Linked DNA regions of Oryzias latipes. The protein of the gene in region 5 interacts with the protein of the main gene of each other region in a biochemical or structural test. Links are inferred from orthologs where the notes say so. Each region holds a gene or a part of one and is shown on either strand. Other genes may lie near its edges. The genes, in order: numb, F-BAR domain only protein 1, epsin-1, ap1g1 and eps15.

Evidence for each region.
Region 1: the proteins of eps15 (region 5) and numb form a complex in vitro, tested with the Homo sapiens proteins (2 studies listed by BioGRID and IntAct, with this or other methods). The link is inferred for Oryzias latipes from reciprocal best matches to the Homo sapiens genes EPS15 and NUMB.
Region 2: the proteins of eps15 (region 5) and F-BAR domain only protein 1 form a complex in vitro, tested with the Homo sapiens proteins (2 studies listed by BioGRID). The link is inferred for Oryzias latipes from reciprocal best matches to the Homo sapiens genes EPS15 and FCHO1.
Region 3: the proteins of eps15 (region 5) and epsin-1 form a complex in vitro, tested with the Homo sapiens proteins (4 studies listed by BioGRID and IntAct, with this or other methods). The link is inferred for Oryzias latipes from reciprocal best matches to the Homo sapiens genes EPS15 and EPN1.
Region 4: the proteins of eps15 (region 5) and ap1g1 form a complex in vitro, tested with the Homo sapiens proteins (2 studies listed by BioGRID). The link is inferred for Oryzias latipes from reciprocal best matches to the Homo sapiens genes EPS15 and AP1G1.

Annotation. Positions count from the first base shown.
Region 1 is NC_019880.2:1,035,446-1,040,114, reverse strand, and holds the start of numb (protein numb homolog), read right to left. Parts: upstream 3,263-4,669; 5' UTR 3,080-3,262; intron 2,695-3,079; exon of another isoform or gene 2,572-2,694; intron 1-2,571. UniProt on the Homo sapiens protein: Regulates clathrin-mediated receptor endocytosis. Plays a role in the process of neurogenesis.
Region 2 is NC_019862.2:14,981,579-14,985,726, reverse strand, and holds part of F-BAR domain only protein 1, read left to right. Parts: intron 1-421; coding exon 422-446; intron 447-563; coding exon 564-620; intron 621-2,773; coding exon 2,774-2,825; intron 2,826-3,589; coding exon 3,590-3,714; intron 3,715-4,148. UniProt on the Homo sapiens protein: Functions in an early step of clathrin-mediated endocytosis. Has both a membrane binding/bending activity and the ability to recruit proteins essential to the formation of functional clathrin-coated pits.
Region 3 is NC_019874.2:19,874,582-19,879,481, reverse strand, and holds the start of epsin-1, read left to right. Parts: upstream 1-1,893; 5' UTR 1,894-2,046; intron 2,047-2,053; exon of another isoform or gene 2,054-2,280; intron 2,281-2,732; 5' UTR 2,733-2,818; intron 2,819-3,067; exon of another isoform or gene 3,068-3,140; intron 3,141-4,900. UniProt on the Homo sapiens protein: Binds to membranes enriched in phosphatidylinositol 4,5-bisphosphate (PtdIns(4,5)P2). Modifies membrane curvature and facilitates the formation of clathrin-coated invaginations. Regulates receptor-mediated endocytosis.
Region 4 is NC_019861.2:21,119,232-21,123,912, forward strand, and holds the start of ap1g1 (AP-1 complex subunit gamma-1), read right to left. Parts: upstream 3,343-4,681; 5' UTR 3,241-3,342; intron 1-3,240. UniProt on the Homo sapiens protein: Subunit of clathrin-associated adaptor protein complex 1 that plays a role in protein sorting in the late-Golgi/trans-Golgi network (TGN) and/or endosomes.
Region 5 is NC_019862.2:31,367,248-31,371,395, reverse strand, and holds part of eps15 (epidermal growth factor receptor substrate 15), read left to right. Parts: coding exon 1-98; intron 99-293; coding exon 294-450; intron 451-798; coding exon 799-881; intron 882-4,148. UniProt on the Homo sapiens protein: Involved in cell growth regulation. May be involved in the regulation of mitogenic signals and control of cell proliferation. Involved in the internalization of ligand-inducible receptors of the receptor tyrosine kinase (RTK) type, in particular EGFR.

The DNA.
Region 1 (4,669 bases), on a different chromosome or scaffold from region 5:
TTTTCATGTATCGCAAGTTATATCGTCATCACAATATTGATCCCTTACATCGCATATCGCGAGGGGAAAAAAAAGTAATCGCGGAAAAGTTCAACACCACGTTCGGCCATTTCAATGGAAATGTTTACAAAAACCGCCCGGTTGTGATAAGAGCCCTGGAGTCTGGCCTGCATAGAGCTGTCACCCCAAATATGAATCAATCGGTGACCTCACTTCCTTCCACTGACTGGTCTCAGCAGCATCGTCCGCCATGGTTGATGTTTATGTTCCCGTTCCCGCCTACTTCAATGCAGAATGATGACGTTTGTAGCGTATCGATGACGTACGGGTCGGATTCATGTGGCCTGGCCGGTCAGACAGAGGTCGCATTTCAAAAGATCGGATACGTATCAGATTCAGAACCACATACCCAAGTGGCCTGGGTCACATTTGAATAGATCGGATCTGTGTCGTTCAGACTGTCATGAAAAGATCAGATACAGGTCGCATAGGGGCAAAAAAATCAGAATTGGGTCGTTTCAGCCTGCGGTGTGAACGTAGCCAAAGAGGTTCATGGATGTATTTGTCTGCAGGTGGATGAATCAGAAGGGGGCGGAGCTGGGAGACTTTGGCCCCGCCTACCACAGCTGCTGCTGTGGTAGGCTGCAAACAGCAGATAAAAACCTGCTGTTTGAAAAAAAACAGCAGGTTTTTATCTGCTCCTGATCCATGACGATTTGAATAAAGAAATATTCAGAAATCCAATCTTGTAATCTTAACTTCTTCTATACATGTCCTCCATCACAAGAAAAATTGGACAAAAATGACCCCCCCATGCAAAGGTGATAAGGGGTTTTGGAACCCATGAACCGCAACTTGAAGCATGTGTAGAGAAAAGGTTGTGGAGAAGAGATCAAAGAGCTTCACCTCCACCTCTGGCGCTAACTCAGAGGATGCTGGAGAAACGGGGACAGTCCATCCCTCTGGCCCCACCATCCCTCATCCCATTTGTCTCTGTGCCTACATGAGAACATCATGTCTCCCACTAAACCGCACCCCACAGAGGAGGACTGGGCCTTCTGGGCTTCTCCTCCTGCTGCTGACATATTCACAGGGGGGGCGCTTCAGTGAGAAACTGCCAATGCCCCTCCCCTAATTCTTGGGGATGACCATGGGTTACTTTAACAACCTTGTGGAAAGAGAAGCCCCGCCCCCATTTTTCAGCCTATTAGAAACACTGGAGCTGAATTGATTCCGAATGTGAACCTGCCTCTTCAGAGGACCTCCTCACTGTGACCTTGTGTTTTTAAATAAAGCTTTGACATTTTGAAATGCAGCAGATTTCACTCTGATGAGATTCACTCAGGCCAGCGACTCGGCATTAATGCTTGTAAATGTTTAGTAATGATGTGCCTCCTGTTGTTGTAGGGTCATTTTATCAGACAAAGAAAACAACAACTCATTCAATTTCCTTCATGCTCATTATGAGCAGCAGGATGTGAGCTTAGAAAATGTGGATCATTTTGGTCTCTCAGTTATCATCATCATCTGCAATAAAATGTCTTCTGTTTTACAACACACAGCAGCACTTTCTGTCTGCATCTGTCATTTCTTCTAAAGACCAGTTCAAACCCAAACATACACCTAAAATAGGGCAGCTCCAAGCACCCGAAGAAACAAACCCTTTACAAACGAAGCCTTTTACATTTGGAAATCCAAATAACTACAGTACTTTTGAATTTCTAAGGAGATCCTGTCCTGCAAAAATCAATTTACCGTCCAAAGTATTCCATTAGAGGAAATTCGGATTTGTTACAATTCTATTTGATATTTTTCATCAATTTATTTAATCTAAAGTCAGACAACAAATAAAAAGTTTAAGAAAAAAGAGTTGAGTCATCCGAACCAAACGTCCCAGCTGAACTTTAAGACATCAGCTGGATGAATGAGATCCTTCATGGCATTTTACAAAATCCTATTTATGGAGAAACATATAAAACTGACATTTTCTTACTAATCAAGAAGCAATAAAAAAATAAGTAGGCAAATTTCTGAATTTTGCTAAACAAATAAGGGAACTTTATGGCTGTTCTAGCAGTTTAAAAGTGTGAAAATGAAGTGTATTAAAATTATTATTTCGTGAAAAGCAAGATTTAAACACCAGATGCTAAGTAAATTAATAAATGATCATATAATAAAAGCATGAACTTCGGCACGTGACAGACTGTGCCATAAATAAGCAGCATGATGCGGTCAAATATTAGAACTGTAAACTCTAGACTTTACCTTCTTCCCGGTAACGTTAACAATTCTCCTTAACTTTCCCCTTAAATCCCAAACAAAGCAGCAGTGTTTCCGCATACCCCCCCCCCCCCCCCGATCACTGTTTACCGTGACCCCCCCGTCACATAAACAAAGTTGTGACCTCGCGGGACGACGACAGACTCCCGCTTCCCAATGTCCGTCATGAGGCTCGCGCCGTCAATCACGCGCCTCTTTTCCTGTGGAAAGTAATCTGAGTACCGATGTGGATGCAGTGGGGGGGGGGGGGGTACTCCCGGCAGCCGGACGGTCTCACGGAGATACCATTACCTCATCTCGGGCCCCATTATCACACCTGGAAAAAAAAGCTGCGCGTTCGGACGATGAGTCACGGCTCGTTCTCGGAGAGCGCGAGCTCGGAGCTCGCGGAGGCTTCGACGTGAGCCGTGACACAGCCAACATCCGAACTTCTTCGCACTTCCACACCCGCGTGCGCACTTGTGACAGTGATATTACACGAGTGGGCCGTGTGTAACAACGTGTCGTGACAGTTCGCGTGCGCTCTGACCTCACCCGTTTACCTCTGAAAGTTAAACCAGGTACCTGGAAGTTAACCAGGTGATCAGAGGACGAGGAAAAACGTCGAAAGGGCTCCGTTTTCTTCGGTTCTTCCCGGTAACAGATTAGACCGGAGACGGTTTGAACACTCCTGCTCGCTCACCGCGTCATTAGAGAGATTACAGACCGAGCTAAGAGCCACAGAACCGGGCTAACACCACTGCATCAGCCGGGCTAGTGCTACTTTAGCCCCTTTTGCTAACCCTTCTTTCCCGCTCACCTGTGATCACCTCCGTGATCCAGACGTGGCCCCGTTAAAGCCCCGACTGTGACCGTCGAGCCGTCCCGTTCCGGATAATTCAAATTCCACAATAACCGTCACCGAGACCCTCCGGGCCAACCGCCGCCGCTGAATGGCTGCAGCGCGAGGATTCAACCAAACCTCGCCCTTGGCAACGGACCGCCTCCGCGCGCGCTCATAGGCCGGCGCGTGCGGGTCCACGGTGATCGATGGCCACTGGGCCAAATTCTGAGGGGTTGCCGACAAATAAGAAATTTAGCACAAAGACAAAAAAAAGATAAGGATGATTTTAGAGTAAATAAATTATTTTTAAAACATTTTAACTTTTAATTTAAAAAAGGAAGGAACAATTTTAATCTGTGCAATAAATTAATACTTTTTAGTAAGCTGTTTAGCAAAATCAAAATAAAAAATGTAAAAAGTACAAAAGAACGTTAAAACATTTAAATTCATTTATTTTATCTAATTAAATTAAAGAAAACATAAAAAGCTAAAGACGATTTAATGTTTTTCTCATTTTAATTAGCAAATTTTTTGTTTCTTTTGTATTTATTTTCTTCTATAAATTAATTACTTTTCTCGTTTGTCTCTGATTGATTATCATGTCTATTTTTTGTGAAAACAATGCAAAATATAACCATTAAAAATAAACATTTATGGGTTTTCAGGTTTAACAAAACACTATAAAGGCACCACTCTTGATTCTGCCAGTTTGATCAATGAACGGGAAAATGCACAATGTGTCATCCTGTTTCACCCTCTCTGACCAAATAAAGGTAATCATTTGCTTTGCATAAACTATGAAAGCACAGCTATTTGACACATGTTCCACTCTGCCGTTATTTCAGCGTCTGACTGATTCGATGATTTATTTCTTTGAGCAGAACTTCCCACAGTTCCTGCACAGCTCGTGTCTGAACCATCATCATGTTGATCATTTGACCATCTTCAGCCGCCCCACGCAGGCCTACGCCCCTCTACCCCCATAGCGACACACTGGCCTCTTTAGCTGGCCAGAAGTTTATCAGCATTCCTGACATAGCTCCAATGGGTACAAAGCTGCAGAGCAGCATATTTTCTCCTATCAGAAGGCAAACACACAGAGCTTCAGCCGGCAAAGCCGGTTATGATGATGGTTTCTCTTCTGTCTTGTGTCTCTGACTGCTGACCTCTAACACTGTCTCTACGCCTTTGAAAGCCAACCCTCTTAATCATCTCTTCTATCTTTTTATGCACATAACAGGCCTGGCAGGTCCTGGGGCTGCATTCCTGGTGAAATGTTGAAGTATTTTGCCCCCCTGTGGTCAACATGAGCAACATCAGCAACAAGCTCCTGAGCATTCGCAGGGAGAGGAGCTTCATTTTTCAAATATAAGTTTTGCTCAAATAAATACTGTCTGGCTTAAAATATGACCCCCCACAGGAAGTATTTGTGGCTGTTGTTGGATTAAAACCCATATTTTTGTTCAGTAATAAAGCTTTAATGTCCACATTTTCACTGAGAAAAGGGATCCTTTCCCTGAATGGAAGTAAAAATGCTGTTCACCTTTCAGCAGATCCCTTCAGGGT
Region 2 (4,148 bases), about 16 Mb from region 5:
ATTCTAATTCTGGTTAGAGTGCTCCTAGTGGTGGAAAAAAAACCACACAGAATAGATGCACCTTTGTATAAGCTGCATGGTTCAAAACCTAGGATAAAAAGAGCAGCTTATAGTCCAGAAAATACGGTAATTAAAAAATATTTATCAAGGAATCTTGAAGTTTAGTCATGACAACTGGACTTAAGATATTAAATATATAAGAATATTTTAAGTCCAGTTGCCATGACTCCATGATAGCCGAGAGTCTTCAGCAACGGTTATGAAGGAGTTGAACTTGTATAAATTATTTATCAAATGCTGTTTTGTCTTTTCTAGTAGAAAATTTACATTTTAATGCTTTTTTTGTAAAAAGATTAGCTAATATTGTTAGTAATCCTAAAAATGTAAATTAATTCAACTTTGTATCACTGTTTTGATTCAGGTTTCAACCAAACGAATTCTCTCCAGTGAGTACACTTTCATCCATTGATTTGAAAACACCTGGAGCTATTTGGTGGAGCATGTTTCTTCACCTACAGTAATACTAGTTTTTTCATTCACTTCCTTCTTTGTATTTAACACAGGAAACTCGAGCAGCGCAGGGGGCCGGTCAGAAGAAACAGAGGCTGCCTCTCACAGGGGTGAGTCAGCAGTTTGATATATAACCTGAAATAAGATCCACTGACATCCCTGCTTGTCAAAATAGGACACATGTGAATGTCAGATACTCTAAGCAAAACATATAAAATGCAGCTCAAACTGGGTGTTGAAAAGCTAAACCAGCTGTTTATTTTTACTTTTTGCTTCTTTAACTTTAGATTAAAAACTTGACAAACACTAGGCCTGCACAATATACCGCAAATTTATCGTTATCGCAACATCAAGCTGTGCAATATGCATACCGCAAAAGACGGCGAAAATCGCAATAAATGGTTACCTTGACCCTTGTGCTGTCCTAGGCACTTTAACATTGGGAGTTGGGTCATCTAGACCCACTAGACAGTGCTCTGAACCTTTTTTCTTCAATGATTTGTGATCTTCACTGGTGTCCATGGATTACATGAAATCTTTCCACCTTTATCCACCTTTGTCATGGTAGGGAGAACATGTCAAAGTAAGGGGGGGTCATCTAAGATAGCACAAGGGTTAAATGTGCTAAAACAAACTCACGGCAGCTTGAAATATTGAACAAATGAAATAAATCCCTTTATGCTTTTAACCAATCGGAAGGACCCGTTTACGCTGTTGATCAATCAGATGAGCCCTTTTATGTTTGATGTTTGCCTCCTATGTCGACAAGGGTCATTTGGAGTATAATTTTTATACTGTTGCATTGAAATGGAAATTATGTTTTTGGTTGGTTTGATATTTGTTTATATACCGCAAATTATATCGTTATCGCAATATTAATCACCAATATCGCATATCGCGAGTTTTCCTCATATCGTGCAGCCCTAACAAACACAAATTCAGGTTTTTGGGTAACAGGAAAGCGTTTATCTCACCTTATAACGAACGTCAAATGACACAAAAAAGACTACAGCCAATTTGGTGAAGAAAATTTAATAGTTCAAGAGAAAAAAAAGACAACTTGTTTCACTAAATCTGTAGTATCAAGTTGGGATTTCCGATCTGATCACGTGATTTGATATTGGGCCAGATCACATAGTTTCAGACTCGATCAGTAACAGATGTTGCATCCCGATCAGGGATTGGATACCGTATTTTCCGGACTATAAGTCGCATCGGAGTATAAGTCGCACCCCTTGCCAAACTATGAAAAAAAGGGCGACTTATAGTCCGGAAAATACGGTATTTATTTTCTTATTACTGTCATCAGCGCAATATGTATATTTTTTTTTATTTAATGCAGACTTATTATTATATGGCACATAATATCGCACAAAAACAGTTCAGGAAAGTTTACAAGATATTCACAGATTCAGACGTCTGGACTTAATAAATCTTTTAAAAAACTTTTAAACCCACAATGGCATTTCAAAAGAAAATAGATTAGATTTTTCTTTGTTTTTAATGAGAACTCGCCATTACACTAATGTATTCCTGCTATAGTTAGTTACCCAAAGCCAGACTGCATTCTAACACATTTTTGGACATTGTGTGTTCTTCTAATTCATTTCTTAGCATGCCATAATTACAACTTTCTATTAAATTTGCCTTTTAATGGTTTAATGGCACAAATCTTGCAGGGCTAGATTATTGGTGCATTTCTTCCACTAAAATACAGATTACAAAGACAATTACATTACAAGAGTGTATTTAAATAATGATTGTGCTGTATAAGAAGTAGCTCAAATGTTCTGAACATCTGTCATTTTGTAGCCCGTTTTCCATGCTTTTCTCTGGACAGCAGATCTTTTTTGTGTTTTGACCTTTAGTTAACTGCTCATCTCTGTCAGTCGTACCCTCATAGTCCTGTTTTATCACCAAAGGGTTTATTAGCTGTCAGGAGGTCAGGCTGGAGTGGGAGGATTCAACCTGCTGCTGCTGCTGCTGCTCAGCAGCTCTAAGCCTGCTGCCCCTAAATCTGGAAGCAGGAGAATTAATGAGCAGCTTCTGATTAAGACGACAGGAGGTGGAGCTTAGTGGGACCAGGCTAATTGCTGCTATTTGTCACAGAGAACATGATGAGAACATTGCATGATGGGTTTTCTTTGTGTCATCCCTTCTTTGCTGTGATAAAGAACGCCATGCTGCTGATTATTCCCAGCTATTGCGCGTCCTCTGCAGTGACGGACTGCTTCTCGTCATGAGTGTGTTGTTTTCTCTACAGACGGAGAGCAGAGCGGCCTGTGCAGGTCCACTTCCAGTCCCAATCACAGCAGGTGAGATGAATCTGTGAAGCTGTCAGTCACATCCTTCTCCCTGTGTGTCTGAGCAGAGACAAATTCAGAGGTGGAGCTGTGCCATCAGAGATCTTTGTTATTATTATATAGGGATTTGAAGTTTTTTAGGTTTTCCTTTTGTGTCTTTCAGCTGTTGTCTCCTTCTCTTTTTTTATTTATTTTTATTTCCTACATTTTCAATATATATATATTTTTTAAATAACTGTTTCCGTTTGACAGACGAAAAATAAGACCGGAGAAAAGGCCAGTGGTGGTTTGATGAATGTTTTGCTCACATTGGCCAGAGCTGAAGCAGCTTTTCACAATAAAATATCAGTACGTTTTAAAATCTAAAAAATGGACAATAAATTAAAGTTATTAAACACTTCTGCAAGGTTATAAAGAATTGCATATTAGTTGTGTGTGCCATAATTGACATCCAACATACATTTTTGTGAGAGCATACAATTTTTTTTCATTTATATTGCATAAAATCTGGTTAAAATATCTAAAACTATATTGAAATCATCTGTGAAAATGAACACTAAGTGTGGCTGTTTCTCTCCACAAAGCTATATTTTTACACATGGAGAAAGAACATCTGCTGATCATGCAGGGGCTTCCCAAAATGGTCCAGCAACAAAGCATCTTCTTCATATATATTCCTCTGTCATTTATGCCCCCATTTCTCCCTGCTTCTCTATGCTTCAGCTCCTATTTGCTTTCCCTGACTGTGTCTCATTTACCCCGCCCCTCTCTGTCAGATTAAGTTCAACGGCGTCGGGTTCTGACGGCCTGTTTGGACCTCCGCTGGAGATGGCCTTCAAATCCAAAAGCTTTGATAGTCAGGAACAGCTCAGAGAGCAGAACACTTTTGGAGCTTCTGAATGTAAGAAAAATCGGTTTCCATTCATGAACCTGCACCCATTTCTCTGAAACCAAGGGTGTATTCAGACTGGACACATTTGGCTTGTTTAAAGCCAACAAGAGTTCGTTTCTCTCGATTTTCGAGGTGGTCTCGGTTCGTTTCCAGTCGGACTGAGCTTCAGATCGCTCTGACATTCCTCAGTCTGAATACAATCCGTCCTTCGGTTGATGATGAGGAGCCAGAAAAATTCCACATCCAGACCTGGCTGACTGGTGACCAGCGGCAACCGCAGCAGAGAAAAGGCTGAAAGCCACAGTGGGAGCGCTCACTCTGCCGCCAAACCGAGGAGCACGGCTGCAGGTCGTCTGCTACATCATTCAAACATTAAGAAAATTTGATTAATTTAAAAAAACATTTATGATGGAATCTTGAAGTTTATTCATGGCAACTGAACT
Region 3 (4,900 bases), on a different chromosome or scaffold from region 5:
AAACATATATAACTTATGTGTTTGGTCAGCAATAAAAATGTCTTTTGCTTGTCGATTTTTATATCCATTTGAATTGTTTCCTTTCATCTTATCTATCCACCTTCACAGTACTTTTTTTTGTTCCTATCTTTACCTCCCAAAATTTTTGAAAAAAAATACTGATAGGATTCCAGTTCTGTGTGTTATTTTACACTAGCAGTGGGTCAAGTCTTTCCTAAGGCTCCCACATGTTCGACACCCCCCTCCTCTTTCCATTCAGTTCAATGGACTTCACTTAGTGCATAGTTTCGGGACTATTATTGCCACTGGTCTGGCGGCTGTGCGTTATGCAACACAAACACTGGCTGCCATCACAACGAGCGGTCACTGCTTGGATTTCTCACACCACTGTTATGCTTATCACCAGTGTGCGCTCCCGCCTTTGTACCTCCACCCTGGGGTCCGTTGGCCTCTGTTGTGACAACCCGTTTCTGCTCTCTGAAACACAGCTTTCATCTCTCCTATGAAGCTGACATCAGGAGCCAACAGCTTTAGCTCACAATACTAAGTGAAAGAAATACTCGCTCACAGGGGAGCAGCGTGTATAGAAACTAGGCTCAGATGAGGGATCTAGTAGAGCTTTCCTGACACTTACTGGGAAGTTGCATAAGGAACATCTTCTGTTACACTGTCAAATTTGCTGAAGCTTTTCACTTCTTTAACAAAAACTTTGTTGTTTTTTTTGTCCTTAAGGCACATGATGCATTCTCCTTAAAACCTATAATATAATTGTAATAAAATAAACACAAAAAAAACAACTAGTACCAAGAACTGCTATAAGAATAATAACAGAAAAAACAAGTTTAATGAGCACAAAGAAGAAACAAACAGGATGGTGACATCATCCACTGGTTTAATCAAGTAACAAGAGCTAGAATTAGTGGCATTTAGTTACTAATAGGATTTAGAATGCAAATTGTCCTCTGCATCAGTTTCCTAGTAGATTTTGAATAAGATGAAAATGTGACATAGAGAGCATGAAATGGGATGATTGAAAGTCACAATTAAACATTGTCTTTTCTGTACAACAAATAAAAATAGTGCCATCTTGTTGGTGAGTTAAAAAAAAAAGAAAAAAATAGTCTCCTAGTAAATTATGACAAAATTGCAATTTTTCTAAATAAAGGGATTAAAAAAAAATCCTGAACTAAACTTTCAACACTGTTTTCTTGTTTGGTTTTTATGGCTCCACTAACGGGCCACAGGCTTTTTGTGGCTTCGTTTAAATCAAGACATACGGTAGTCCAATGGTGCCTCTTTGTGGACAAAATCATTCATTGCATTTTTAAAAATAAACAAAATACTCACATAGTAAAAATAATCAATATATTTAAGGTGTACTCTGTTACAATTTAAAAGATATTTAAATCAATTCATTTTTTCAATTATGTAAAAATAAAAAGAAAGAAAGAAAAAAAGAAATTAACATGCACACAGACAAATAAATAATAAAGGAAGTGAAAGTTTCAACTGATGTTTCTGTTACCATTTGTCCTTGTTAGTTCTTGATTTTTATACTCTGCTTTCAGTTTCTCTGTTTGATGGATAACCAAGGTTATTATGCTTCTAAAATTTTGCAAAAATAGGCACTGCTATTTGTTAGCTATTTTTGTCTCTAATTGACTCCTCTATATTCACTCTTCTTAGTTGACCTAAATGAAGGCAGGGCTCTCGTACACGTGCACAAAACAAACAATAGAAGAAGAACATTTATTTAATCAATGGAGGACTTCGTGTTTACTTTTCTTTCCTTTGACTAAACAGCTTCAAATGCGGCATGATTTTTAATACAAGGTTTGTGCAACAAAATAAAATTTAAAAAATGCATTTTTATGTTTGTTTCTGGGCTGTTTTGAATTGTGACTGGTGTGAAAAGTATATGAATTAATCATGAGTTATACCAGCATGGCATGATGAAAACACAGCTACAGGGGGTGCGGTCTTTCCTGTAAGGAAGCACGGAAGCGGAAATTCGGCCATCTCCTCGTACATTCAAGCTGCAACAGGGTTAGTACACACTTCATTTAGGTATTTATTTATTGTTTTGTTTGCATCTCCAACAGTTTTGCCCATATGACTTTTTGATGAGTGTCTTCAACACTCCCCCGCAGCAGAACACGCGTTTTAAATGCCGCACAACAAAGCAGTCAGATGGCATTCACGAACTAGCATCAGAAGCTAGCTAGCTAACAGTTACATTCAAGGAGCAGCAAGTGATTTCTTGGTATGGGAAACTGTCAGGTAACGTTACCTTCGTGTTCACTCTGCTGAGGGTCAGCGATATGACGTGAAGATTTCTATTTGGTTTGCATTAGTTAGCCCGCTTCTTTGCTCCCGTCTTGTGGACCCAAGTTAATAGTTTACCTAGACTTTACTTAGACAAACTGTTTCGATTAGCCATATGCTAGCTAGCTAATGTTAGCCATAAAATGACAGCTACTTTTAGTTACGTGTTTTTTTTTTTGTTTTTAACTTTTGTCTCACATAAAGACTTGGCGACACCATAGTATTCTGTATAATTGCTGAATGGTGTTGTACCTATTTGGCTTCTTTAAAGGCGTTCATACGTTAAGAGTTGCATAACGTGTATTAATATTAGGTTGCTAGCCAACCTTTAGCTTGTTAACTTAATAGGTGTGACAGGCAAAATCCAATTTTGTCTGACTGGGTAACGGTTGTTGGCTTATCTACAGTTTAGTTATCTGGATGGAAACCTTTTCTTTACGGGCCTGCGCACCGTCAACTGCATGATAACACAAGAGAGGAGGAATAATTGAAAGTAAGTTGAGTTCAGTGTCAGCTCTGCTACTTGATGTTAGTTTGAATTAAATTAAAAGTTTCAATCAAGCTAATACCAGAGCTCTCACTTTTTTAATGTTAAGTTTTAAATTGTGGCCTGGATGTATTATCTTATATTAGTTCTAGCTTTACTAGCCAAGTTAGTTTTAATATTGCCAAAAATATTACGATTTTTTTTTCCCGAGATGTAACTGAGCTGAATGTTTTTTTGTTTGTTTGTTTTTATTAGTAGAACAAGTTGAACCTTCCAGCTGCTTAACTTCAGTGTCAACATATTCCAGAACCTCAACCTTACACACAAGGTGTGTTTGTACTTTGCTCAGCCATGCTGCGAGTGACAAAGGTTAAAAAATAGTTAACCACTAAATGAAATTCGCGTTTTTCAAAATTTAGATTTTGAGATTGAAGTCAAAGCTGTAAAAATAATCATAAATCAAAGTTGTCAGTAAATGTTCATAGATGAGCTTAAAATCATGAGCAAATTTAGTTTTATCAATGTTACTAGCAAGTTGAGGGAGTGGTCCTGCTATCAGCTGCTGTCATTAGAAGTTAACAAAGTGGCGGCAATCTTTATGCAGGTCAGTGTTATGTCACATAGGTGTAGTTCATGTTAGGCTTGCCAACATTTTCCTGAATAAATAACTGCACTATTCTGTTAAGTGCATGGGAAGCGTGATAGACAATATGTTCTTAAAGGTTTGGGGGGAGAATGAAGACGTGTTTTTTTTCTTTCTTATTTTAGCAAAAATAATGCAAAATTAGCTTTTTCGTCTCTCAAAATTAAAAGATTTAGGGTTAAGCTGTTGTTTTTTGTGACTTAAAATAAAACACCCTTTTACTACAAATGTTAAGTGTGTGGAGATACTGTAACATTTAGCTGCAATATTTAGTTTAGCATGCTGATGGTTTATTCATTCAAAAAAGTGGATCATGATGTTTCATAATCCACTGTTTTTAGTCAAACTGTTGGTGGACTCTGAAATTGTAATCCCTTTAGTATCACTCCATAATCAGTCATTTCCATTTAAATTTGTTTTTTTTATAAATATATTTGTTGCGTGTTCTTTACAGTTGGTATAGATGAATGAGCCTGATCTTCTCGTACCATTACTTGTATACAAATGAAAAACAATGTAGTATTGGAGTTAATTCAAGACCCTTTACATGACCACCTATTAATGAAATTATCAATTTGCTGCTTTTTGCATCACACCTCTTCATTTTTAAGAAAACTCAAATTGCATCTCTAGAAAATTTGGGGTTTGTTGCATCCATTTTGTTGTTGTTGTGGTTTTGTACCAAAAGTTGAGGTTTTAGTTGTTAGGGAAAGTACAAAAGGGAAAGGATACATCTGGTCAGCAACTATGGTTTAACCTGCTGTGCAAGCAATTGAGAACAAACGATACACAAGAGGGAATGGCCTGGGGTGAAACGGTGGGCCTCATAATATTTCACATAATCATGCATAGCATGAAGTAAAACAGATTAGGTCATGTCTGTGATTATTTTAAAAACGAAAGCACTAATAAAAACAACAGCTTACTGACCCCAGACTCCTCAGCCTTACTTTTTGGTCCTTTTGACTCATTGTAGGTTTTAACGACATTGTACCTAAACTTATGCTTTTATTAGAAAAGCTGTGTTTATAATTACAGTTTATTGTTATTATAACCATTGTTTTCTTTTGGTTTCTAGCTGTTAGTGGTGAAATAAGGGAAGTTGTTTACAGAACTTTAAGTAACAGATCTTTTTCACAACCTAATTCAATGACCTCTTGAAGTTTTAAAGGACTTGCTAGTAAGCTGCATGTGTTTCGATTCTTTTAAAAAATATGGACGCTTCCCTCTAAAGCTCATAAAGCAGCAGCAGAACACTGAGACATGCAACTCTTTGCTTTTACTCTGACACACAGCTTTTCTTTTTTTTAAATTAAACCAATTTAAGACTTGATTTGAAAAAGTGTTTACAAACTCATTTTATTTATTAACCTTTTCAGAATCCAGAAATATCCCAGTTTCAAAAATAGATATTTACCGACATTCTACTATAAAAATGTGACTGT
Region 4 (4,681 bases), on a different chromosome or scaffold from region 5:
ACACAACTCGGAAGATCCTTTCAAAGTTTTGCTCCATGAGCATACCTTTCACTAAATATCAGAAATATGCACTTGGAGAAAAATGGCTTTAACTGCAATTTAAAAGACATTTAAACAGCTTCTTTTGGCTAAGCTGACACAAAAGTGTTAAAACAGAGTTTTAAAGATTTAAAGTTCTGTTTATGGTTATTCTAACTTTCCCTCTGGATAAATAAAGTATTTTTGCAATTGTTGATAACAGTGAATTCATTATTGAGACTACAGAGTAAAAATCATTGGTAGCCATTTCTTGGTTACTCTTGTAACCGTTGTATTTACAGATCTTTTAGGCTGTACTGGAAGTAATTTTAAGAAGTAAATGTAGCGTTGTTAATCTGGACAGAACTGGATCAGTATAAACAAATTCCACAAAAGCTAAGGATGAGCTTCAAGTGGGCTGTTAAACAAAAGGCATCTCTGAAGACTTTGCTCTCTTGTCAATTTCAGACTTCTGTTGAGGTCATACTTTTGTTTATGTGAATCTAAAACCTTTTTTTATTTGAAGGCCTCTCTTGCAGTTCTAATCACAGACTCAGCAGAAATGATCCTATCAGCCTGGCTGTCATGTTGCTGGAGCTAATAAATAATCATGACACTGCAGATTATTTTCACCTAAAAAAATTACTGACCCCATTCCTAAGAGAGCACACGACAGATTCTGCTGGGTGTTTTTATTTGTGTCCTGTCAAAAAGTGGCTCAACTTTTCATGAAACTGTGCTTTCAGATCTGTCCAAGAAGTGACTGATTTATTATTTTAAACTGCAGGATGAGCACTTCTAGAGATGAGAAATATGGTCAATCACATGACATGACATGTTTTAGGGACAGAATCAGGATGAAAAATATATTTTGGATTTTATTTTGTTTTCAATGAATTCGGGGAGATTGCAATCCAAGATAGACGCATGACCAACCCCCATGTCCCTGGGTGAAAAGAACAACCCTTTCAGATTGAATGCAAAACAGAGGAGTTGGCTAATGTGGGTGTGTCACAGGAGGGGACATTGGAGTTGTGTCCTAATGGCTAAAGTAACAAGATAATGTGGATTAATGGTGGCCATAATGCTTTGCAACTTTGTTAAGAGGAAATCTGCATTAAACAAAACTACATTTGGTCCCAGACATTTTATTTTGCTAGTCTTATATTAGCCAAGCAAATGCACAATATGTTCAGCAGATCTTTAGCCACTTCTTCCAGTCTACAAAATACTGCATTAGTGACAGGAGCAGTAAAACAATCGGGAAGCAGCCCCAAACAAAAGCTCAAATAAAACAGGACTTATCTGGGATCTTAATGATTCAATACTTGCCAAGTAGCATTTATTAAATTGGGATAACTTTGCATTTAAAAAGGTCAAATCCATTCATTTATATACAGATTTGATCCATCTAACAAAACAGTTCAGCATTAAAGGAGTTTCCCTTATTAACTCACTACTTAGTAATCTGTTGCTCATTAGAAAATTACCTCTGAGTTGTGGGTGGGACTATTGCCATGCTGTAATCTTTCCCTTACTTCCCATCATCTATTTACGTGCTCTCCCACTGGTTCCCTAGTACAGTACCTCACAGCACCAACGTAACATTAACGGTGAAACAAAAATGGCGAGCAATATCGGAGATATCCAGCTGTTTAGTTTTGCGCCAGATGCCAATCTATTTGGATCCATTAGTCTACAAGTAGATGCATCAGAATAAAGCTGAACAGGGGACTTATGTCACAGCTTCTTCCAAGTGCATTTTTTCTTCTGCTCTTGATTCACAACAATTTGAATAAAGAAATGCACAGAAATTCTATTTTTAGCTTAATTTTCTATGTATGCATATATGTACTCCATCATGAGAACAATGCCACGGGAACATGTTAAAAACACCAACAATTTTAACAGGAGAGGGCCTTTAACTCCATCTATTCAAAGCTGCTTAACATGCATAAACTTCCTTTGAACTTGAAAATACAAAATGGATTTTTTATACTTTGTGTTGGTGGTTACTAAGGCCTCAGACCTAAAGTAAAAAGGCAAGACACTCAATATTTTTCACTGACCATTTAATACGAAAGAGTTGAGAAAAACAAACCCCAAATGTTAATTAACAATTATTGTAAACCAATAATTAATTTATAGTATGATTGTAAGCCTATCCTCACCTACGCCAAGAGGCCCCTGAACTCCTGAAAGGTGTGTTGGTCCTGGTCAACAGAAACATTAACACTAAAGACAACCCAGCAGACACGTCGATACGCAGAACGTCACACTCGTAGCGCACTTCCTACTTATACCTCGACTTCCTTAACGTTAACCAGTCCTGAGCAACAAGTGCTATAATGGAAATTAATTAGATGTTTCATTACAGAAATCTACTAAGGAAGACGCTTCAATGACACCAACTGTTTTGTAAACATTATAAAAACAAATTCACGTCTTTAGTGAGCTATAGCTTCCTGGATGTCAAAAGCTAACTTGACTCGACATTTTAAAGTTTTTAAATATTTAAAAACCACATCTAAAGCTCCAGCAAACTGTCAAGTATCTTAACGACGAGGCACAACAACTGAGTAAAAAGTAGCTTTACAAAAAGTGCCCATTTTACTCGAAAGGGATCATGTTTGGACATCCTTAGCAACAACAGAGGCTTTACCGCTTACTCACGCTTTTTGATAAAATGCAAGAAGTTAATATTAACAACATGAACATACAAAATAATTAGAAAAGTGGTTTTGTTTAACCTCGAGCTACGACACCTGACTGAGTTCACCAAGTGAAGAGGACATGATGCGTTTAGGCCTTCGTGGAACATTTGGATTACAAACTAGCTAGCTAGCCCCCTGTACTACCGTCAGCTCGCTACCTGACAGTTCGCTGTTAACTAGTGTATAAGTTACAGGACAAGAGCTGTGGTCCAGTAGTGGAAATATTAACTACACAGTCATCGTTAGGTGCTGTCACAATAAATATTTCACAAAACACTTGGGAATTCTGCATAGCTAAGCCCGTAGATACCTAGCACTGCTCTACATGGTAGCTAACTTAGCTTACTGACAGGCACTGCCCCGGCGCACTGAGCGCTGCAACTTCCTATGCAGTGGCACTCTCTCTGAGATAACAACGCAGACACGAACACACGCGTAATGTTTTTTGTTTAAGAAAATTACATTTTATCACATTTCTGTCGATATGTTATTGTTTCAAAGTACTTACTAGCCGTAATGACGCCAGAAAAGGACTGGACTCGTCTCTATTAGCGATGGAGGGAGGAACACACTAGACATGCAAAATGGTGGCTACTCCAGCCTCAGTACATCTACCGCAGGCGGAGGGTTACACTCTCAGAGGATGGTAAAAGGCGTTCAGCTCAAGTTTGTCATCATCGCAGGAACGGCTGGAAGCAGAGAAGTCACCACTGTGACCGAGATTACACCTGATACAGCTCTGTTTACAGGACACCATGGGTAATAGTTCCGTTATGTCACTATTGGTCTTTTGTAATATTAAATCAATTATTCTATTTGATCAGTTTTCTACAATGCACGCTCGGTCTGTTCCCGTTATTATAAAGCGCTAGCAATAGAGCCTGTTGTTTTCTTTAACCATCTGGTTCTCGATTATCTTTTTGAAAAGGTTTCGAAACGTATTTATTTGAGATTGGATTCCTGGTTACACTGAGATGCGTTGTCTGACATTTTACATGAAACATGTGTTAAATGACAAGGCGAGGTTTCTTTTGTTGAGATAGAATATTATCCTTTAACCTTGCGGATGAGTACACTGTCCGTCTCGAAGGCGTGCTGCGGTCAGTTTACTCGTGGCATACAGTGATGACGACTGCATGCAATGTGAGAGTTCAGTGGTACCGTAAATTAAAGCGCCACCTAGCGGTGTCTCTTGTCCTCTTAAGAGGATCCTCTTGAGGTTTGATCTAAAACAATAATTTATTTTTTGATGAGATACCAATTTAGACTTGTTTTGTTTTTGTTCAATTGACCAAAACCATGCAAAGGTTTAATTATACTTAGTATATTTAGTTTATAAATAAAGATTAGGTTTGAAATTCAATGTAACAATTATTTAAAGAGAGAATTTGGATTAAATTGATATGCATTAAAATATCATTTAAAATGGAATTTGGCTCTCATAAATGCTTCATTTTATATTTTTGATGCTACATTTAAGTGTTGGTAAAAGTGATTTAAAGCAAAAACATTTTAATTACGGTATACATCTTTTTATTCAAGATGGTTGTACATGTATGCATGACTAACATGTCCTTGTTGTTAAGGTTATTTTTTGGGTCTCCCACAGGTGTCGGGAGTTGAACTTCAATAAGACGAATTACATATTTTGCAAAGCAACATATGAGGGATTAAAACTTAAACATCAATAAATAACACTTTGGACTAATTTGCCTTTATCCTGGATGGAAAAAATGATAGTATTTGTTTTATTAAAAGCAAATAACTAAACAAACAAAGTATGAGTTCAATAAATTTTCACGTTTTTTCTAACATACATATAGTACGCTAATTTAAAAAGAAATCAATAATTATTGAATTAAAAACTAGGGCTTTCTTTTTTGCCACACAAAATAAGATAAGAACCATAAAGTGTGTATGTAGTTATACGAAATGAAACATATATACGT
Region 5 (4,148 bases):
AAGACGGACGGGGACATGGACGGCCTGGTGTCCGGACCAGAAGTCAGGGACATTTTCCTGAAAACGGGGCTGCCCTCTGCCACACTCGCTCGCATTTGGTGAGTAAAAACAGGAGATGCTGATGCTGAAGCACACATCTACTAAACAAAAGCCCACATATTTGAGCTGAACATTCTGTCGCCGGAGCGTCACTTTATCGATTCTCCTCCTCACATCAGCTTCTGACCCGCTGCCACCGTTCTGCCCAGAGCAGAAATCATTTTCTGACGTCACCCTCATAACTGCGTTTTCAGGGAGCTCTGTGACATCGGAGACATCGGGAAACTGACCCGGGAACAGTTTGCCTTGGCACTTTATCTCATCAATCTGAAGCTGACCAAAGGCTTGGAGCCTCCGCAGAGTCTTTCCCAAGAAATGATCCCTCCCTCAGACAGACAAAACATCAAGCAGGTCAGCCAGTCAGGCCCTTTTCTTTCTCTTTCTTCTACTTTTCTTGATGCACGGCTTCTTAATCGGTTTTATTTAACATAACACGTTTTCTTGAATGGGTCCAGTCAGCTGGACTGAACAAAGGGGGCAAAAGTAAATTTGTTTGTGCTCATTTTCGTCTTTTTCTGGTGACAGTTTTTCATCATTAGACGTACAAATGTTTTTTTTGTCTTAGTTTGTCGTTCATCTCCGATGTCAGTTTTACTTCCTCCCACTTTTTTTCCGTTTTTGCAGTTACGTCTCATTGTTTCTTTTGAATATTTTCCATCGTTTTGTTGTAACCAGCAGTTCTCACTGCTTCTTTTCCAGAGCAATGCTGCCAACCTGGCGGCTGACTTCTCTGCCATTAAGGAGCTCGACTCTCTCAGTAACGAGATTGTAGAACTACAAAGGTAATTTTAATTTGTGCATCTATTACAAGCAAATATGAAGCCATGAGTCAAGTTGGAGAAAAGATAAAAACAAACGTCTGGCTGTAGTAAAGCAGGGGGTGGAGTTAAAGAAACAAAATATTTGTATTAGATCACGTTTATCAGTATGAACCGTAGATATACTGCAAATGTTGCAGACGGAGGTGTTAAAAACAGGACATGACTGAAGCTTTTTTAGGTTCGATCATAAAAAAAGACATTTACATTTACATGCTGTATCCCAAACTGACCAGCAGGGGTCAGTGTTTCCAGTAATCCATTTTTTTGGATTTCTGAGTTCAGTTCTGTCTGAAACCGGTATAATTAACTGTAAACATGTTAAACATTAGTTTGAGATTTATTCTGAAGATTCTCAACCACCAACAGTTACAACTTTAGTTTAAGAAAATGTCTTTACCAACACTTTTTTTTAAAGAATCTTTCATGATTAGAAAGTTCTTTGCCTATAATTGGTTGGATGCTAAAAATCCTTCAACCGTTGTTTTCCTGTTTCTCTTTCTTTATTCTAGTATCTTCCACCATTTTTTGCTGCTTATCTCCTTCTACAATTTTCATCTGTTTCAACCATTCAACTATCCAAATGTTCAGCTCTTTCAGCTTTTTCCAGCTGTGACTTTTGGTCCTTCAAATCCTTGAACTTTTCCAGATATTCCAGGATTTCTGCCTCCATTGAAATCCATGGGGAATCCTTGGTGCAGAAGCTCGCTGGTTCGATACCCGGCTCTGGCATTTTCCATAAACACATCTTTTGATATTGTGCTGTTTTGACTTTATTTATGCTCAACTTTGATCATTTCTTTCTTTATTTATATATATTTTTCCAATTATTCCCCTTTAAGTTTCATTTTCATTCAGCAATATAGCATCAACCCTGCCTTTTCCTCTGGAAATGTCTGTTGGGCTCACTGTCAGTTTCTGTTGCTAGTTTCTTCCTCACACTAAGCCAGGGGTCGGCATCCAGCGGCTCCGGAGCCGCATGCGTCTCTTTCCTCCCTGAGCTGCGGCTCTCTGTGGTTCAGGAAAATAACCGTCGTGTTCTCAGATGGTCGTGGAGCCGTTAACACAGTCAGGTAGAGCGAGAGAGCAGCGGAGGGGGCGTGTCTGCAGCTGTGAACGCCGACCACAGTCTGTTATGGGATGGAAAGACGGTCAGTGGCGATCTCGTAGGGGACACATGAGCGCCCCCAAACAATCATTTCATCCCCCTAAACTAAAACCACCCATTTCCACATGAAATGAATTAAATTTGCTATCAGGGGCCCCCCACTACCCTGTCACCGTGCTGCTACGATGGCCGTATGTTGATCTGTCTGTGTAGAACACGCTGCGGGGGCGGGGCTTATGTTTCCAGACCTACCACAAACTAACAGCTGCTTCCTAATAAAAAAATAGTTGTCATCCATAAAATTAATATAATTTATTGGGTTTACTGGATTTAAAGAAAAATAAATAGAAATGGAAACGTCTGCATCAAAGGGAATTTGTTTTGACAGACAGAAAAGTCTGTGGAAAATGGACAAAAGATCAAAGGAAATATCACGCTCATAAAGAATAAAAACTAATTAAAATAAATAATTAAATAAATATCCTGATGAACTATAGTGATATATCAGCAAAAACATGTTTTAGTGCTGCAGCTCCCTGTTCTTTCATCTCAGTGGGAAACTGATCCAAATCAGAGGTTCAGGTTTCTGACTCCTGCATTAAGCTAAAAATACGTTTTTGTTCATGAAAGCTGAAAGTGAGAAGTGAAAAAGTGGTTTCCAGCCCAGCTGCTCTTCCAAACAGATCACAGTTTATGGGTTAATAGATGCGTGGAAGACTCAGAAGATTCACCATAGATCAAACTTGACACAATGATGTCCGTTTGCTGCTGTTTCAGGTTTTGGCAGCGACTTTCTCAGCCAAAGGATTCTGGAGAATGTGATGCGACGTAGGAGCAGCAGAGGCGTGAGCTTTACTGTTCTGACAGTCAAAAATATAAATGTGAAAAACATTAGAAAGATCAAAGGAAGCCTTTGGGAAATGCTGAGGAGGCTCCATTTATTCAGAAAGGCAACCAATTTATGAGCAAAAAACACTTCAGCTGCATTAATATTTGTTAATATATTAATATATTGTTTTTAATAACTATTTTAAAAAGTTTCTAAAATGAGAATAATTCCAAACCATTTTGAAAGAATTGCCTTGACAGTTGTAGTTTGTGAACTTGAGTTTTAAAAAGGAGAAAACTAACCGAAAATTCAAACTTCTTTCAGGTTTCAGTTTCAAGGATTTTGTTTTTCTAACTTTAAAATGAAATTTGCAAGTCGTCCATGTTATCTGCAGACATTAGGAAACTTCTGAATTTCAGTTTATAAAGTTAATCAATAAAATGCAATGATTATGCTTTTTCATTTCATTTCTGGCTGCAAAAAGCGGCATTTCAAGTCAAATCTTGGGTGAAAATTTGGCTTCCTTTAAATGATCCTTCACCGTCTTCACTCCAGCTGTGGAGTTTAAGCTTTTTCTAAAACCTAAATGTGACGGCTCCAAAAACAAAGCTCCTATTCCTCTGGATTTCCTTTCAGTGCTTATTTAGAGTTCTGTTTTAAATTTCTACCTTCAGAATTGTGGATCTGTTCTCGGCTTGACGTGGCTTTAAATCATTAAATGCTGTGAAAAATGAAGAAACAGGAAAGTTTCTATTATATATATTTATAAAAAAATCCAGAATCTACCTGCTTATTTCCTTATTTCTCATTTCCTTTGAGCTAAATCTATATTTTTAATCACTTAGTTTTTTCTCTGCCTTATGTGAACTTGCCGGTTTGTGTTTGTAAAAAGGTTTGCTGTTTTTTAAAATGACTTTTCTATGTTTGTCTGGCGTGACGCTGGTCTCCATGTGGGCGATCCTCTAAAGTCTGACAGGAGCTGTAGCTCCTGAAGAAGGTCCCGAACTGCTCGTGAGCTGCAGGCCGGCTCTTCCGGACTCCAGCTTCACCCCCTTCATCACTGCTCCTCCCTCCTCCTCCTCGCTACGCGTCACGCGTTCGCTCACCTTCGCACCCCGGGAAACTGACGCCATGACCATTTCTGTTGGACTGCTTCCCGCCTGCCTCAGCTGCAGGTCTCTCTGGACCACGATGGTTCAGGGAGAGGAGGTGGTCTCCTCTCAGGGGCGGGGGGAAGGAGCCTTGCTGGGACTGGTCGGCGTACCGGGCGGGAAGCGTCTCTCTTTGCTCGCTA